Linked DNA regions of Arabidopsis thaliana. The protein of the gene in region 1 interacts with the protein of each later gene in a biochemical or structural test. Each region holds a gene or a part of one and is shown on either strand. Other genes may lie near its edges.

Evidence for each region.
Region 2: of the proteins of SAC52 (region 1) and NIK2, one has a biochemical effect on the other in vitro, tested with the Arabidopsis thaliana proteins (one study listed by BioGRID).
Region 3: of the proteins of SAC52 (region 1) and NIK1, one has a biochemical effect on the other in vitro, tested with the Arabidopsis thaliana proteins (2 studies listed by BioGRID).

Annotation. Positions count from the first base shown.
Region 1 is NC_003070.9:4,886,024-4,891,035, reverse strand, and holds SAC52 (Ribosomal protein L16p/L10e family protein), read right to left. Parts: upstream 2,923-5,012; 5' UTR 2,767-2,922; coding exon 2,757-2,766; exon of another isoform or gene 2,607-2,756; intron 2,488-2,606; coding exon 1,986-2,487; intron 1,891-1,985; coding exon 1,809-1,890; intron 1,697-1,808; coding exon 1,628-1,696; 3' UTR 1,332-1,627; downstream 1-1,331. Other genes in the region: AT1G14330 (Galactose oxidase/kelch repeat superfamily protein), read left to right, coding at 1-661; AT1G14315 (F-box and associated interaction domains-containing protein), read left to right, coding at 3,103-3,497, 3,659-4,175; AT1G14310 (Haloacid dehalogenase-like hydrolase (HAD) superfamily protein), read right to left, coding at 4,364-4,430, 4,535-4,628, 4,752-4,825, 4,923-4,995.
Region 2 is NC_003074.8:9,278,651-9,285,451, forward strand, and holds NIK2 (NSP-interacting kinase 2), read right to left. Parts: upstream 4,211-6,801; 5' UTR 3,911-4,210; coding exon 3,784-3,910; intron 3,694-3,783; coding exon 3,564-3,693; intron 3,479-3,563; coding exon 3,407-3,478; intron 3,319-3,406; coding exon 3,175-3,318; intron 3,079-3,174; coding exon of another isoform or gene 3,076-3,078; coding exon 3,004-3,075; intron 2,916-3,003; coding exon 2,856-2,915; intron 2,700-2,855; coding exon 2,602-2,699; intron 2,502-2,601; coding exon 2,349-2,501; intron 2,254-2,348; coding exon 1,912-2,253; intron 1,835-1,911; coding exon 1,455-1,834; intron 1,362-1,454; coding exon 1,043-1,361; coding exon of another isoform or gene 1,032-1,042; exon of another isoform or gene 947-1,031; coding exon 900-946; coding exon of another isoform or gene 881-899; 3' UTR 863-880; downstream 1-862. Other genes in the region: AT3G25550 (F-box family protein), read left to right, coding at 228-388, 464-785, 881-937.
Region 3 is NC_003076.8:5,220,912-5,227,888, reverse strand, and holds NIK1 (NSP-interacting kinase 1), read right to left. Parts: upstream 3,956-6,977; 5' UTR 3,626-3,955; coding exon 3,502-3,625; intron 3,318-3,501; coding exon 3,185-3,317; intron 3,096-3,184; coding exon 3,024-3,095; intron 2,920-3,023; coding exon 2,776-2,919; intron 2,681-2,775; coding exon 2,609-2,680; intron 2,510-2,608; coding exon 2,450-2,509; intron 2,366-2,449; coding exon 2,268-2,365; intron 2,185-2,267; coding exon 2,035-2,184; intron 1,950-2,034; coding exon 886-1,949; 3' UTR 601-885; downstream 1-600.

The DNA.
Region 1 (5,012 bases):
GAATTCTCCGAGGTGTTTGTTTGGCTCAGCGAGTCTAGGAGAGATTGCGATCTTTGCTGGTGGTTTTGATTCTTTTGGCAAAATCAGTGATTCCGCTGAGATGTATAACTCCGAGCTTCAGACTTGGACTACACTTCCGAAGATGAATAAACCAAGGAAGATGTGTTCAGGTGTTTTCATGGATGGGAAGTTCTATGTGATTGGAGGAATTGGTGGAAATGATTCGAAAGTGCTTACTTGTGGTGAGGAGTTTGATTTAGAGACGAAGAAATGGACTGAGATACCGGAAATGTCGCCTCCAAGGAGCCGGGAAATGCCGGCAGCAGCAGAGGCGCCGCCTCTTGTTGCGGTTGTGAATAACGAATTGTATGCTGCTGATCATGCTGATATGGAAGTGAGGAAGTATGATAAGGAGAGTAAGAAATGGTTTACTTTAGGGAGATTGCCCGAAAGAGCTGACTCGGTTAACGGTTGGGGATTAGCGTTTAGAGCTTGCGGTGAGAGGTTGATTGTGATTGGTGGTCCTAGGAGTTCAGGTGGAGGGTACATTGAACTGAATTCATGGATACCATCTAGTGATCGAAGTCCGCCTCTATGGACATTGCTCGGTAGGAAACATTCATCGAATTTTGTTTACAATTGCGCGGTGATGGGTTGCTGATAAAAGGGTTTCAACAATAACTTTCAGATGATTTTTATGATTCTCCTGCCGTTGGAGATGTCGAAAGTTGCAGTCTTTTTTTTCTTATTAATTTTGGTTATAAAAGAAATTTATTTGAATTCAATTGGATACAATCATCTTGGTGGTATTGTTAGTTTCTTGGAAAGAACAGAAACAGGTCTTGTAATAAGTTTGGTGGAGAAAGTTCAGAATCTAGAGTTTTTCAGTTCTGCTATACTATTTGTTAAAATTTTTGTTTATATTCGTTTCATTCATTTTTTCGCAAAGAGACTATATTATGTGTTTTGTGTGTTCTTCTTTCAATTCTCTGATAAGAGAAGAAAAAGAGCTTTTAATCTTATAGTTGTTGTTTGCAAGATAACTTGATCTTTTGCTTGCAAGTAATACCATAAACTTTTCAATTTTTCTCCTTTCTCTTGGTTCTCTGTTTTGGGATTTTTGCTTCCTTCTTCAGAAATTATGGCAATTAATTCTTTGAAAAGTAAAAAAAACAAAGATAGACTTAATCAGGAAAATGGCAGTTTGCATCTGATTTTGACGTGTAGGTAGGTCTCTGTCATTTTCTCTTTGAACTCTCAGCCTTGCATGACAATACCTAAGATGGGCTTGCTATGCTAATTTCAAATCTTTTATGCATACTAAATGATCCAACAAGGCAATCACCCATCTCTATCTAAAACTTCAACGATTTTCAAGCAAATCTTCAATTAAAATATTTAAAGCTAAAGCCATGATAAAACTTGCAAATGAAAGATATATGGCCAAGAACGAAGGAACAAAATCATTTCAGAGCTTAAACAAAAGAGTCACAAAAAGATTCAGAATACTGATTGTGTCCAACTAAAAACTTAAAACAACACCAGAGATAACGATAAGTAAAAAGATTCAGGCTGATTATAATTCTTCTTCACCGGAATGAGAAGGATACTTCAGTTCTGATACTCTTCAGTAGTGGGCTGGCAAAAAGGCACTTCCCGGCTGACGGTTAGCCAAAGGTCCATGGCATGAGAGGAACTGAAAAAAAAACGAAAACATTGTTCAATTCAACAACAAATGATATTTCCAATGATAACTATCACTGCTATAGGATCAAAGAGTGACAATTCTGATGTAAAGCCAATAATACCTTAGCGTTGACACCATCAGGGACAACACGCTTCTCTTGCCTCAACTTGGTGAAGTCAGCTCTGTTAAACTTCGTGAAGCCCCTGAAAAAAAAGTCAAAGACTTGATGAGTTAGCTTACTTGTATCCATAAAACAATCAAACAACAAAATGATTCAAGGATCAATCTTTGAACATACCATTTCCTGCTGACAATAATCTTTTGACGACCAGGGAACTTGAACTTAGCACGACGAAGAGCCTCTTGAGCATGGTGACCATGGGCATCCTTGCAACGAACAGACAAAAGAACCTGTCCAATAGCAACACGAGCACAAGTACCCAAAGCTTTACCAAAAGCACCTCTCATACCAGTCTGAAGCCTATCAGCTCCAGCACACGAAAGCATCTTGTTAATCCTGAGAACATGGAAAGGATGAACCCTAATCCTCAAATGAAAAGCATCTTTTCCAGCAGACTTCACCATGTACTTGTTGCAAGCAATACGGGCAGCTTCAAGTGCTTCACTTGACACATTCTCCTTCTCCCATGACACCAAATGGACACAGAATGGAAACTCATCAACACCCTTCCTCTTCATACCAACATCGTAGATCCTGATTTTTGGATCTGGCACACCACGACAGTAGCGAGACTTTGGGTATGGCTTACCCTTGATCTGACGGTAACACCTCGCAGGTCCTAAATCAATATTCAGATTATTCAGATTTCAGCTCAGACCAAACTCATATAGCTCAAAATCATCACAGTATATAAAAACCTAATCAATCAATTGGTATCTAAAGAGAAACTATATAAACCTAATCATTTATCCGATGAATAGAAAAACTGAATCGCAGAATCTCAAAATCGCAACAAAGAGAGAACATTTGGTTAATTAAATCCATGGAGGAATCGGAAGAACACAGAAATCCTGACAGAGAAGTCACAAGAGATCGAGAGAAACTTACTTCTTCCCATGGCGTCTCTCTTTATCCTTCCTCGGCCAAAAAGCGCGGCTGCTCGACGAAAAAACTAATGACCTAGAAAATGGCTTCAATTTATAGATCCGAAATTTGCTAGGTCAACAATATAGCTCTGGGTTTTTAACTAATGGGCTTTAACTATTAAAGCGCATTACATATTAAAGAGATTTGTTAGGGATAGGGTTAGGGCCCATCGATTGTATATACGTTTTTTTTTTTTTATCTTCCTCCTCAAGGAAAAAATCAACATTGGATTGAATTGATACAAATAAGCATATCTTTCATGTTATCCATCACTCAGAACAAAATCCTCTCAATAGACAGAGAAATAATGCAATTGCTTCCCCACGACACCGTTGAGGATATTCTTGAGAGAGTTCCGGTGAAATCTCTGCTCAGATTCAAGTCTGCTTGCAAACAATGGAAGTTGACAATCGAATCTCAATATTTCCAGGCGAAACAGTTGATCTGCTCAGCTGGCGGGAAAGATCTAAATCTTGTATTGGTGTCTGAAGTACCCAGTACGTTGGTGTTGCCCCATCATGTTACTGCTGATTCTCCTCCACTTAAAACTAACGTGTTGTTGATATCATCAGAACGATATCATATTTACCAACTTTTCCACAATAGTTGTGACGGTCTTGTTTGCCTCTTTGATTACCAAACCTTAAACAACATTGTTTATAATCCCGCCACTCGATGGCATCGACGTTTCCCTGTTTCCAGGTTGCAACAAATCTGTCTTGAGCAGCCAAGTTATTTTAGTCACGTTAAATTTGGATTTGGCAAAGACAAAATCAGTGGCATATACAAACCGGTTTGGTTATGTATAACTCTTCCGAACTTGGCCTAGAAAACGCTACTACATGTGAAGTTTTTGATTTTAGCACCAACACTTGGAGGTATATCAATCCTTCTTCTCCTTATCGGATTAATACTTCCTCGTCTCGGGGGCATGCTCTGTATGTAGATGGATCGCTTTATTGGTTAACCGGGAAGAAAGAAATTAAAGTTTTAGCGTTAGATCTCCACACCGAAACTTTTCAAGTTATCTCTAAAGCTCCTTTTGCGGAAGCAGATCATAGAAACATTATCACACGCAGCCTGAATAACCGTTTGTGCTTATCGGTTAGTAAACCTCTCCAACAAATGATAATATGGTCGTTCAATTCAGAGAACAAGACCTGGGAACAAATATATTCGATAGTGAATCGTAGTGTTACGCAATCATTACCAGTAGCCATTTTGGAGAAGAATAAGCTTTTGTGTTGTCCTAGATCAAATAGTAGACAGCTGATGATATATGATATCAAAACCAAATCTGTTGATTCAGTTTCCATAGGCACCTATCGTTGCGGAGATAGTGTTTTTTGTTATTTCGAGAGTTTAATCTCTATATTGTAACTTTCACCATTTTCTTCTTTTTGTTTGCTTCTCGTGGATCCATCTATTTGATTTAAATTTTAGATTCTTGTTGTCCAAGTTTGCAGCTTTTTCATTATTAATTAAATTTTTAAAGAGACAGATTACAGTGTTGATTGAGTAAGTGTGTACAGGGTCTGAAAAATATTGCAGAACAAAATCTTTGAAGCTTAGAGTTCTGAAACCAAGATCCGCTTTTGTATGTCCGAAAATGTCTGCACATCTTCTCCCCACAACCTAAATTTTCAAAGAAAACAGATAAACAAAAAGCACTATGTGTTATGATGGATGAGAATTTAAAAACCTCGGAAAAAACAAGATGAAAAGTATATTTGGCGCACCAACAAGCAATACCGATGGCGTTTGCTCCGCCTTTATCAGCTCCTTCATCATCTCCGACATGCACTGCTCTGTTTACATCTACGCTGATTTGTTCTGCGCTTGACACAAAATGTTAACGTTAATTTGTTCTCCGCTTGACACAAAATGTTAACTCTGAAACCTTTCTTATAATTTAAACGAAACAACACTTCAGTTTAGAATGCAATATGCCAATACCTAACGCAGATTTGAAGATTCGTTCATCAGGCTTCTCGTATCCGACTTCTGCGGATACAATCACAGCATCGAACCTGCAAGAGATGCAAGCATTATAAACGATTACCATTCATGGTGTTAACTTTGGTACTCAGACTTCTGGTTTATATAACAAAACATGACAAAGCTTACATATCTATGACATTAAGATCCTTCAATAGCTTTCTTAGCCTGGTATCGAAATTAGACACAACAGCCATCTTAACTGCAATCATCTAACAC
Region 2 (6,801 bases), on another chromosome or scaffold:
AGTGAAAAATGTGGAACCACTTGACTGAAGACACTTCCCCGTTTTGGTTACAATCTTTGTAAAACGAAACGAATTTTCTTCATCCCAAAATAAGCCAACACATATCATGGGAAAGATTGCTTCGTCCTCTTCAGAGAGAGGAAGAAAAAGAAGAAGTGAATATCACGCAAGAGATATTGAAAGAGAAACCGAAAGAAGAAGACGAAGAAGAGAAGAAGAAGCAGGAGATGATCATGCATCATGGAAGAGAAAGCAAAAGAAGAAGAAGACAGGTTATTAAGATACCAAACGACGATGTGTTGGAAGAGATTATAGTAAGGCTTCCAGTGAAAACCCTAACTAGATTCCAAACCGTGTCTAAACACTGGAGGCATACGATAAAGTCTAGGTAAATCAGGAAGAAATACATGTTGCATCAGAAAACAAAAGAACCCAAATTTCTCTGTCTCTATGAAGTTAGAAGAAACGGGTCTAAGCCAAGCATTCGTTACAAGACCATGAGGTTGGAGTGGTCTTTGAGTCGTCTAGTGGGAGAAGAAGAATATTTAACTAGCAAGAAACACAAAGAGAGGCGGATACTATTTTCCAAGAGTGTGGATGGTCTTTTTTGTTTATATAGTGGTGTGGACATGAAACAGCCAATTATGGTGATAAATCCAGACACAAGATGGTCTAAGAAGCTCCCTCTTGCTAGGATTCAACGAAAGAATTATTTAGACAGCAACAAGGTAGAGTTCTCTCGCCTCGGGTTTGGAAAAGACAGCGTCACAGGAACATACAAACTAGTGTGGTTACGTACCAAAACAAAGAAGAAAATAAAAGAGGAAACCTCATCGACGATGACATGCGAGGTTTTCGATTTCGTTTCTACGAAATGGAGGCGGTGATTCCACCTCCTCCTAATCATGGGATAAAGCATGAGAATATGTCTTTCTGATACCAAAACCTGTACAAGATCACAGCATACAACAAAATACACAATCTTATATATGTTTTTTACAAACCCAAAGCCATTCATATAGTTTCTCTTGTCATCTTGGACCTGATAACTCCATGGCTTGAACCAGCACCGAGGAATCATCTGTAAGATCCGAATAACGTTCAGAGGAAGAAAACTCGTTAGGTTTACTGTAACTTCTATTGGTTTCTGCTCTCTGAGAAGAAGCTTCCCATTTCTCAACAAGACCATCGCCTTCAAGCATTCTCACAACTTCAGACATCTTAGGACGGTGAATGGGAAGATACTGTGTACAAAGCAAAGCCACTTGAACCATTTCTTCCACTTCTATTCTATCGTAGTTGCTCTTCAAATCCTTGTCTACTATCTGTTCTAGCTTCTTCTCTTGTTGTAGTTTCTTTACCTACAAGTAACCCCAAAGAAAAAACCCTAGAAGTGAGTATTTTTAAGCTAACTGAAACAAGAAGAGAAAATGTTTTACTCTTTTACTTCTTACCCAATCAAGTATCGCTCCTCTTTGGTTTGCTGCTTTTCCGAATTCAAGAGCTCTCAATCCAGTAATCAATTCGAGAAGAAGAATCCCGAAACCGAACACATCTGTCTTCTCAGAAGATTGTCCTGTTGAGAGATACTCAGGTGCAATGTGACCCACTGTTCCTCTCACGGCGGTTGTCACATGCGACTCCTCATGATCCAAAAGCTTAGCCAACCCGAAATCTCCGACAACAGCTTCAAAGTAATCGTCAAGAAGTATGTTCGCAGCTTTGACATCACGGTGAATGATCTTTGGATCACATTGCTCATGCAAATACAGCAACCCTCTTCCTGCTCCTAATGCTATTCGCTTTCTTGTGCCCCAATCCAATACCGGTTTAGCTGCAAACCATTCACACGAATCGTAAACCGGGTCAATTCATGTAAAGAAATCAAAATCAAGGTGTTTAATTAACTACCTTTGAGACGAGAAGCGACACTGCCATTGGACATGTAAGGATAAACGAGAAGCCGTTCAGAGGAAGTAGTACAGAAACCGTATAAGCGGAGGAGATTCCGGTGGACGGCAAGGCTTATCATTTCAAGCTCTGTCTGAAACTGAACCTCTCCACCACCATTGTTTATATCCTTTAATCTCTTCACCGCGATGATACTTCCATCATGAAGACAACCTTTATACACATTTCCAAACCCTCCTTTTCCGACCAGATTCTTGCTGCTGAAGTTACTAGTTGCGGATTGAAGTTCTTTGAAATTAAACCTCCTTAGATTCCCTAGACACATTTCTTCCTTGTTTTGCTCTGTGTAAGACCCAAAAATTCACACACTCACATTTGTCTGGTTTCACATTCAACAGTTAACGAAAAGGGATTAAAAATGTCATTGTGGGTCTTACCATTAATGTCAAAGAATAATACTTGTTTGTTATGTCTTCTTCTCCACCAAAGAAGAAAACCAAAGCCAATGATCAACAAGCAAACACATGTCAAGCTTACACCGAAGACTACCGCGATTTTCCGGTTTTTAGTTCCTCCATCAGATGATTTATCTAACAACAACAACAACAACAAGAAGAAAAGAAAAATCAGTTTAGATATATTCTCTAGGATTCAAATATTACTTTAAAATATTGAAAATTTAGATATTACTTTGAGAACTGTTCAAGGTGATTGACATTGGCTTAGGCTGAGTCCCATTACAGTCTTTCTCAGTTCCTGTTGGACAAATCTGAGAATTGCCCATAACACTGCATAACAAGTTAAATAAAAACTATATAATATAATTAGGGTAACGTATAAAAGTGGATAAATTACAGAGAAAAGAAAAACACAATTACACTGTTACTTTCTCAGAACAGAGTAAAACAGAGCAGACAAATATTCTTTCTCGTAAATAGACTTACTTGAATGTTTTGGCAAGTGATCTTGGAACTGGTCCACTCAAGTTATTATACGACAAATCCCTGAAAAACATTTACAAAATATATATAAACACAGATTTATATATGTAAAATATAATTTAAAGAAGAAAATAAAAGAAAGAGAATGTACAAAAAAGTGAGTTGGGTCATGTTTGCCAATGAGCTAGGAATTGTTCCTGTCAGGCTGTTATTATTAACCCTCCTGCTCCACAATTTTCAACACAAAAATAATCTCTCCATAAATAATTTATATAAAAAATATGATAAAATAAACAAAACGAAAAAATGGATAAAATCATACAAGTACTGAAGATTTTTGGAGTAAGAAAGAGTGAATGGGATTTGACCAGTGAAGTTATTGGTAGAGAGATCAAGTGTTTTGAGTTTCATCAATTTCCCAATCTCATGAGGGATGTTTCCTGTTATGTAATTGTTCTGCAATAACCTGTATCTCCAAACAAAATTATTAGAAAACTAAAGTGATTAAGAGATGAAGAAACAATGTTTTAATAATTACTACAAAACATACTTACACAGTTTGAAGATTTGTTAAATTTCCAATACTTGATGAAAGAGTTCCTGATAAGTTTTGGCTTGGAGCTTCTCTACATACACACAATAGTAAAAACTGTAAACACATGATTACATATATGTGTGTGTGTGTGTGTGTGTTGGTGTGTAAGTGCTTACAGCCTTATGACAAAACCATCAGAACAAGTGATCATGTTCCAGCTACATGGATCAACTGCTGTGTCATCCCAATTCATTAGAACTCCATGAGGATCAGTCAGTGAGCTTTTGATTCCTATTAAGGCAACAACTAAAGAAGAAACAAAAAAAGAAAAGCATGTTTTAGGAAGAAAAAAGGAGAAACTGAGAAGTGGGGGAAGATTTTGTTGATGAACATTACCTTCAAAGTTAACACCTTTGTCTGTGAGTTCTGCAGAAGAAGAAGAAAGAAAACAGATAAAGAAGAAGAAGAAAGTTGAAGAGAACAAAGCATAACTCTTTTTTGCTTCTCTTCTTCCTTGCAACATCTTTGTCCGAATCAAAACTTGTTTTTCTTGAGAGTATTAATCTCTAAGGTGCAGAGTTTGAGGTTTATTTCTTTTGTATAAGAAATATTCTTTTTTTCGATTCTTTGTTTGGAGGTTTTTAAGAAAAAGATGGAACAGAGGATTTTGATTTGGAAGTATTTGTGAGTGAGAGTTAAAGAGGGAAAGAGAAAGAGAAAGATTTGTCTGCCAATTATTTATCTAATGGTCCTCTAGACTGTAAACTGGAAAAGGCCAGAGACAAAATCGGGAAATGTTTAGTTTTCAATCATGTGATAAAAAAACAGAATTCTATAAGATTTTTATGGTTTATATACTTCGCGCACACAAAAAAAAAAACTTGATTTATATTAAGTTATCTACAAATATGGGTCCATTTATTTAATTTCGTCTCTCTTACCAGAATTCGACTTCGTTTTTTACATATATGAGAATAAATTATTGAAAAAAAACTATATTGTAGTGCTTAAAATTACAAAAATGCAAAGATGGTTTACTATACAATCGTAGACACAAAACAAAATTGGTGAAAAAAAAAAAGACACAAAACAAAATATATCTATATCATAAAAAATATACAAATGAGTTTAACAATGATGAAATATTACATATGTACGATTTTTTTGGTTTAATAAATAATTTTGTTTTCTTTTAAATCAACTCATTGGCAATCGACTGTTTTCAATTTCAATTATGTATATTTGCTTTGAAGAAAATGTATTTTTCTAGACAATCAACTGTTTTAGAAAAACTTAAGATTTAATATTGAAAATAAATAATTATGTGAAATGTTGTATTGAATGTTGCATAGTTATACTGGTACATGGACAATGGTGTGAGCTAGTGGATTTACCAGCCTTGCTCTTTAAAAAGGGATGATGCTACCAAATCGAATATGTACTAAAAACAAAAAATCAATTAATATGTTTTTTGGGTTATAAAATCAATAGATATGTTACTTACTCTTTAGACTTTTTTTTGAAGTAATGTATTTGGATTCGAAGACCTGGTTGTGTTCTAAGTCTAGAGGATTAATAGACTCAACCTGTTCTCGGATGTAGGAAAGCAACAAACGATAATCAATTAGACCTAAGATAAGCCTTCATAAAAAAAAATACATCATACTATTAATCAATTAGAGCAGGTGAAAAGTGAATTTATATGGTAAGCACTAAGCACCATTAATCTGTTATTAATAAAGCATTTATATTCCGGGAAGAATAACCAAGTGGCCTCGAAGTGATAAAGTGTGAAAATTATTGTGATGTAACGCAAAGTTAAATAAACTGTGAATTATAAAATTATAATAGTGGGACACTCGTTGTGTCGATGAGATATACTGTGAGTCTGTGACTTAGAACTTTTCTTTTTCTTTTTTAATGACTCCCTTTAACTCTGTTTTTATTCCCACTCATCACAGTTAATATATGTTAATATCTTCATAACTATTCATTAATTATATTAAGATATTTGATCCTTTTTCTATCTATGCTCTAAATTCGTGCTAAAATATGTTTTGTCAACCATTTGAAATTAAATATCGTTTATCAATGTTGTTTGTTGATAATATAACATGTGCTTTCGCCAAATGGATGGTTTTCTTTTCTTCCGAATGTGACAATGTCAATTGGATATTTTAAGCGGTGGAATATTAGATGGTACTTTAGAGGGTAGAATTAGAACTTGATAAGACGGAAAACATATGATCGAAATGAAGTTAAAATGAGAAAACTACAAAACTCGAAATTCCAAAAGAAGAAATAATGATTGAGAGCTTAACATTTGGTCTAAAATAAAAGAAAATTGTTAGAGAAAACAAAAGTTTGAAAAGAACTTACCAAATGTAGTACATAATAGTTATAGTTAAGTTGATCAAGAAATTAATAATGATGCGACTTAATGTTATAAAATAGTGATTTTCCCCCATTTTGTCTTTCGATTAACATATATGGAAATTTGATATTTTTTTCTACCATGTTGTTCCCAATCGGATGTGCGTATATTATTATTTTACATGAGTCTAGTACTTCATTACTTTACTACTGCACAATGAAAAAATGATTGATGAAGAAATTATTGGATCGAGCAACTGCTAAGCTTATATACAAACACAAAAATCAAATCTTTGTCTACGCAGTGATTAGTCAACAGACAAGCCACTTTTTAAACCACAAAAGCAAACTGCTTTATAAAGCAAAAGCTGTTCTCCTCTATCTTTCATCATTACTCTAATTTCTTAGTGCATTATCATTTATTTCATATACTACAATTTTATTTTGGTTTTTTTCGGGATAATGTCATGATTTGTATGTCGTGTGCATGGATACACGTGTGATACTAAGTATTAACATAACAAATTGCTTATTTCTTCTTCATCATCATCGTTTTCTTTGACCACGTCTCATGAATTTGCAACCGCATTGTAACTTTGTATGCATAATAATGAGATATCAAGATTGATTGTACTTGATATTAGTTTTGTTTGAAATCTCTGACAGTTAAAAAATAATAGTGACTGACTGATATTAATTATGATTCGTTGATTATTTTGTTATAATTATCTGCTCGTCTTTCGAATAAAACTGTATTAGTCCATGAAATAAATCATTAATGAAATTTTCCTCTATAAAAACAAATTAAAGGAAATATGAAATGGACTTATAAGCATCAAATATATGCATAAGAATGATAGCAACCGGAAAAAAAAAACTCTACATCAAAATCAGATTGCACATCTCTAGTTATGAACATATATAGCCACATCAAAATCTTACAATGTAAATGGTTAATAGTATAAAAATCATGTTATTGACTGTGTCATGTACATCTTATGTGTGTCCTAATTTTCTATCCAATTTAGATGAATTCTTTAT
Region 3 (6,977 bases), on another chromosome or scaffold:
AGCCACAAATTTTTTGATAAGAAATACTTAAGGATTAAGGAGACACCGACATGAGATCAGATGCAATTATGCAGATATGATTCGCTTTTTAACTGTCTTTTTCTTTCATATAAACGTATAGAATGTGCGTGTAATTCTTGACTTTGCATATTGTTAATGTTATCAAACCAAATCATATCACTATATGTGATTCTGACTTTGATGAAGCTATTGTGTGAACGTTTCCATTTGTAGGTATAAAGTGTGACTTTGAATCTAGTGTGAACCATGTATACATAGATTATTGCCGTTTTTATATTTCATGGACGGTCCACGTCCACGTGGTGTTTCCTTATATACACAAACACGTCGTTTCTTTGACGGAGAGAACAACTTCATGCCGTTTTCTTGAAAACACATTCTCGACGTTTCATCATCCATTGAAAACGAAAGTAAAGTTCCGTTTAAGTTTTGGCAACATATGAACTACGTGTTGTCTTTATGAGAGACATTTCTTCTTTTTTTCACTTTACCTTTTCCTATCAGTAGGTCAGGTGTGTGTGCAAAACAAACAATGAAACTAGTTTGCATTAATGAAAATTTTTAACTTGTGGAGTTGGATCCAATAATAAGATAAATTTCATTCTCAAACATGAATTCCCAAATTTCACACATGAAATCTCCCAAAGTGTTCCCTCTATTCAACGCAACTAATCATTTTTTATGTAAAGAACTTTGAATTAACCCTAAGTGCAGTAATAACTTCTTACACAACAAGCCTATACAGTTACAGAGACACAACATTTCCCTCCAAAAAACCTCTCTATTATACAAAAAAACAAGAATCCCTCTTGATTCAAGAAACAGATGCATGTTCTTCTTCTTCTTCAGATTCATGTATAGATTTCATCTAGGACCAGAGAGCTCCATTGCTTGCACAAGTAAACTAGAGTCATCGGTAAGATCAGAGTATCTGTCTGAAGATGACATCAATTCATTTATCCTGTTGCTACATTTTGAAACACTGTCTGATCTTTGAGAAGCTTCCCATTTCTCTGCAAGTCCATCTCCTTCCAGCATTCGAACAACTTCAGACATTTTTGGTCTATGTCCTGGCAGGTACTGTGTGCACAACAAAGCTACTCTTACCATTTCGTCTAACTCAATCTCATCGTAGCTCTTCTTCTTCAACAACTCTTTATCCACAAGTAGCTCAAGTTTCTTCTCTTGATGAATCTTTTTAACCCAATCAAGCATCACACCTTTCTGGTTAGCCGCTTTACCAAACTCAAAAGCTCTTTGTCCGGTTACAAGCTCAAGAAGAAGAATCCCGAAGCCAAAAACATCTGTTTTCTCAGAGGATTGACCAGTTGAGAGATACTCTGGAGCAATGTGACCCACCGTGCCTCTAACCGCGGTTGTCACATGAGAATCTTGATGATCCAAGAGTTTAGCTAAACCAAAATCGCCAACCACAGCTTCACAGTAGTCATCAAGAAGTATATTCGCTGCTTTGACATCGCGGTGGATAATCTTCGGATCACATTGCTCATGGAGATACACAAGCCCTCTTGCAGCTCCTATGGCTATCCTCTTCCTTATGCTCCAGTCAAGAACAGGTTTTGCTTTCATTCGAGATGCAACGCTTCCATTAGACATATAAGGATAAACTAGAAGCTTCTCAGTTTGTGTGATGCAGAAACCGTAGAGTCTTAAGAGATTTCGATGAACAGCTAAACTGATCATTTCAACTTCTGTCTGAAACTGAATCTCTCCTCCCAATGCTCCTCCATCTTTAAGCCTTTTCACTGCAACCACTGTACTATCTCCAAGTATTCCTTTGTATACATTTCCATAGCCACCTTTCCCCAATAAGTTCTTACTGCTGAAGTTATTGGTCGCAATCTGAAGCTCCCTGAAACCAAATCTCCTCAGGTTTCCAAGTGAAACTTCCTCATGATGATTCCCATCTGTTGAATAAAAGAACTTTCTTTATAAAAAAAAAAAACTTTATAAGATTGTTCTGTGCAAGTAATAAACTGAGTAAGATCAAACCTTTAACATCAAAGAATGTGTTTTGGTTATGTCTTTGTCTCCACCAGAGAAACAAACCAACAGCAATGAAGATTAATGATACAGTCCCAACGCTGGATCCAACAGCGATTGCCATTTTGTGATTCCTCGATCCACCGGCGTATAAAGGAACTTAAAAAAGAAAGCAGTTTGTTGTTAGTTAGGTATGATCATAATACTAAGATTGAAAGTTTTAAAGGAAGTTCGTTATTTACCTCCAGTTTGATTCAAGTTCATAGACATAGGTATCAATGTTGTTCCATTGCAGTCTGGTTCGGTACCCGTTGGACATATCAGCGGGTTCCCAACGATGCTGTAATCCGAAGGGAAACAATGAAAGGTTATCATACGGACAAAGAGAGTGAAAGAGTGAGACATTGTCAATAAATCAAATTACCTAAACGTCTTTGCAGCAAATCTTGGAACAGGACCACTAAGATTGTTGTATGATAAATCACTGGAAACAAAAAAAAAAACAGATCAAATCTCAACATTTCATGTCTCTACATATGAATTTCTTTACTGGTTAATGTAAACTGAAGATTTATTAGCTTACAGAAAGGCAAGTTGAGTCATATTAGATAGTGACAGAGGAAACACTCCAGAGAGAGAATTGTTGTTAAGCCTCCTGATGATACACAACATGACATATCAAGATCACAAATTCCTTATAAAAACAACACAAAATTTAAAAGATCCATAACAAATTTTTACTATTCTTACAGATATTGCAGGCTTTGTAGATAGCCTACTGAAAAAGGAATTTCACCGTGGAAGAAATTATCAGAAAGATCAAGAGTCTCAAGCCTCGTAAGCCGACCAATCTCAGCAGGAATTTTTCCTTTTATGTTGTTGTTCTGCAACAGCCTGTAAGAGGAAAAAATCATCAAGAACACACACACACACACAAAACAGAAGAATTTAATCAAATTTTAAACTTAATAATCATTTAGTGAACAGTAAGTACTTACACAATCCGAAGATTTGTTAAGTTGGTAATGCTTGGAGATAGTGTACCAGATAAATTCTGACTTGGTGTGCCTCTGTAATAAAATTTATATCATTGTTTTCCTTGCTTGCTCATCAGTGTAATATACAGTATAAGTGTATCAATGTAAAATGTGAAACTTACAAGCCAATGACAAAGTTTTCAGAAGAACAAGTGACCATTGTCCAACTACAAGGATCAACAGCATCTCTATCCCAGTTATCAAGAACACCATGAGGATCATGTAATGAAGCTTTTATGTCCATCAAAGCTTGCACTGACGAAAATAAAAAACTCCCATATTAGTTTGGATCAAGAAGAAATATATACTTTTATTTGAATTCCCATCAACTAAAAATTCCAGAAAGACCAAATATCAAACACTTCATCTACGAAAGTGACAATGTAAAAAAAAAAAAAAGAGAGAGAATCCAAAGAGTGAGACTTTACAGTGAATATACCTTCAAAGTTAACACCTTTAGGAGAAAGCAATCCGTGAACAGAAGAGCAGAGAAGGCATAAAAATCCCAAGAAGCAAAAGAAAGATCTTGTTATCATCATCATCATAACAATAGTACTCTCCATTGTTGAAACAGAGGAATGAGCAGAAAACAAGATGTACTCAGCTTCCAGATAATTTGGTATTTGATGGAGAGAGAAAGACAGAGAGAGTGAGATTGGAAGAATCAAAAAACCAAATCTCTATCCTTTTTTCATTTCAATTTTGGTTAAAGTATAAAAACATTTCAACATCAAGATGAACCCACTTCACCAAAAGCATAACCTTTATTTTAAAAAAAACTATTTTTTTGTATGTCAGAAACAAGATATACAAACTTTATAGAGATACCAGATTCATTGGTAGTCTAAAGTGAAATTAGAATAGCATGCTTGTCGATAAAGTTTGTGTGTGGGGAGACCGTTAAAAAAGTAATAAATTTATATTAAAAATTTGTAAGAAAAGATATTATAAAAATAATTTTGCCCATATTGTTTCTTGTAATCGACAAGAATAGTCAGTAAAGCAAATCTATATTTTGTGTATTTCAAAAATTTTGAAGGGTAAAGCAGGAAATTAGATTACTGTTCTTTTGCTAGCTGCCACCCTGTCATGTTTTTGTCTATGGTTTCTAATTTTAGTTTAGAATATACAGTGTTTTTGTTACATTTTCCTATTTCTTAATTTATTTCACATTACACTTACATAGATTGTTTTTCGAGTGTTGAAATCTGATGAAAAAGAGTTGTTAAGTTTCAAGGGTATGATTAAATCACATTGTTGACTGATTGCTTGGTGTAAACGGAACCCAACAATCCATGGTTGGTCATGCATAGGCTAGACTTTATTAATTCCTCCGTATATAGAATGTTTTTGTATGCAATTTTTTTTTTTTTTTTTGATTAATATGTTTTGAGAATGTGAGAACTTCGATGAGAAGATTATACTGTATGAAAAACTAGGCTCAAGATACTTCTGTCTACTATATTGATTTTGTTGCCCACTCAAATTTTCAGCATCTTTGTCTTCTCGATGTGTGGAAATACGAAGATATTAGTACAAGTATTGAAGGATAAGCTTTTTTTTCTTCAAAAAAATGTTGTAAGTTAATTATTTATAATAGTCTTTTAAAAAATTTAGATCTAAAAGAAATAAATTCGATAAATCCCACTAAGAGCAACGATCACATTTAACTTCCATCAGGAAAACAAATCTGTATAGATAACAAATTTCAGAATACAACACCTTTTCTTAATAGTCAAAATGCAAATATTTTAACCCACTCTTTTTTTATTTGACTACTACAAGATTTATATTCACAATAAGATTTTCAATATTTTGTAGTGTGTAGTAATAATAGATGTATAAGATAACCCAGTATCCAAGTCCAAGACATTACAATTTGTCCAAACCTCGTGTCGTTTTCATGGGTTTTTGTCTATGTGTGAGTTGGCAGTAATATTATGACATGCATTTGCATTTGTTCGAAGTATATACTACTATATGATCTTAAAACGAATATGGTTTACCTGGTTAAGTGAAATACTTAATTATCATCATTCATTATAGTTATGCTGGCTTTTAAAGATTTCAATCATCTGAAATTTTGGAGAAGTTTTTTTATAATATTACATAAACTAGTAAATATATCTTGTAATTTCATTTTTCCCTTAACCAAATTTTTGAAACTTAACGTCAAATTATCTTGTTTCGAAAAGTTGGTTAACAGAAAAATTACACAATAATATTTGCTTAGATTCTGATTTCGATCAACAAAGTACGTAATATGTGTTTACTATATCAAGAAATGTTGTTTACTTAGTAAGAATACATGTGAATCATTTATTTTTCTTGTAATGGAGCACACATTAAAAATGATTTTGCAAGGTTCTATTTATTTAACTATATATATTCACATTCGTACATCATCGTTATCTTCATCAATGCGTACCGACCTGTAAACCAAAAGGAAAGAAACAAAAACAAATATTCTAAATTTGTGGTGAACAAACAATATATAAAATTTCCTTGTTCAAGAACTACTTTCATTCCTAGTCAAGTTTTTATAGTTTGGTCTCCACGTGACACGGTTTCTTAAAACTCGATTTATGAGAAACAATCATTAATATTTAATGCTTTTTCTCGTTGATTTGACGTTTGATGGTAAATGGGTTCTGTGACTTTCAGGGGAAACAAAAATGAAAATCATAAATTTTTATAAGATTACAAAACATGACATGAACTATTGTGCAGAATGCAGATAGGGAAAAATGGTTCCCAACTTGAGTCCTATGCCTAGGGCACTGAAGCTAAATTGTCTCAACTTCAATCATGTTAGGGAGACTGCATGATTGGTTATATTAGATTATTGGCCATAGTTTTATATGAACTCACGAAAGTTTTTTTCCCGTGATTACTACAGTCTTCAGATTTTGTAAATTAGTTTAAAATTTGATACAAAAGTTGTTAGTCACAACATATATATACACATTACACAATGACAAATTGCTCATCGTTTTATTTTATTTCAAGTGTTCTAAATCGGTTATGAAGATTCAAACTACTTCTGCCATTTACAGCCATTACATTGTCTATATATGCTTGGCAATGTATAATTAATTCGATACACCCGATTGTCTAAGACTTTGTTTTTTCTCACTTAGAGTTTTGTATTTGTCTTTTTTTCACTCACCTAATTGTCATCAAATTCTTGGTTAGACGAAAATGAGATTTTACTATAGATTATAGATTATGATTATTATTTGATATCCAAAGACGGTTTATATACTTGATTAAGGTGGCTAAAAGTATTAGTTTCCTTACACTGTATTAGGCCTAATAACACAAAATTAAAAAGTATTTAAGAGCATATGGAATGGAAGCTTTTCTTTTTTGAATATTACACTAACAATTCCTGAAATTAAGTGGACTGTTAGTCATCAAGTAGACAATAACAAACAATTTATAATCATAATGTTTCCTAGAATCCGTTGAAATCATGAAATTTTGAAATTAATTTGGGGTTCCATTTGAATAAAATACCTCAATAATTGTATTTGCATGGTCTATTGGAATATAATGATTATAACTAGGGTGAACGACCTGTGTTCCTATGGGAAGTTTCATATACACTCACAACTTCACAGATTTCGGACCTCGTCTCCAATCCACACCAAATGAAAGTTCTAAACCTCAGTCTCCCTAAATCAAAAGTTCAAATCTTCAGTCCACAAAATTTTGAATTTCGTGGTTTATCGTTGGTTTACTGTACCCGAAACAACATTAACCGTATAAGAACGAAACTAAATCGGATTAACACATAAACCAACCCGTTTTATTACCCAAACAACCCGACTAAATTCAGAAAACCCCCAATTCAAAAAATCCCTAATTCGATAGAACCCTAAAATTGAAAAATCCCCAGTTTTTGAATTCGAT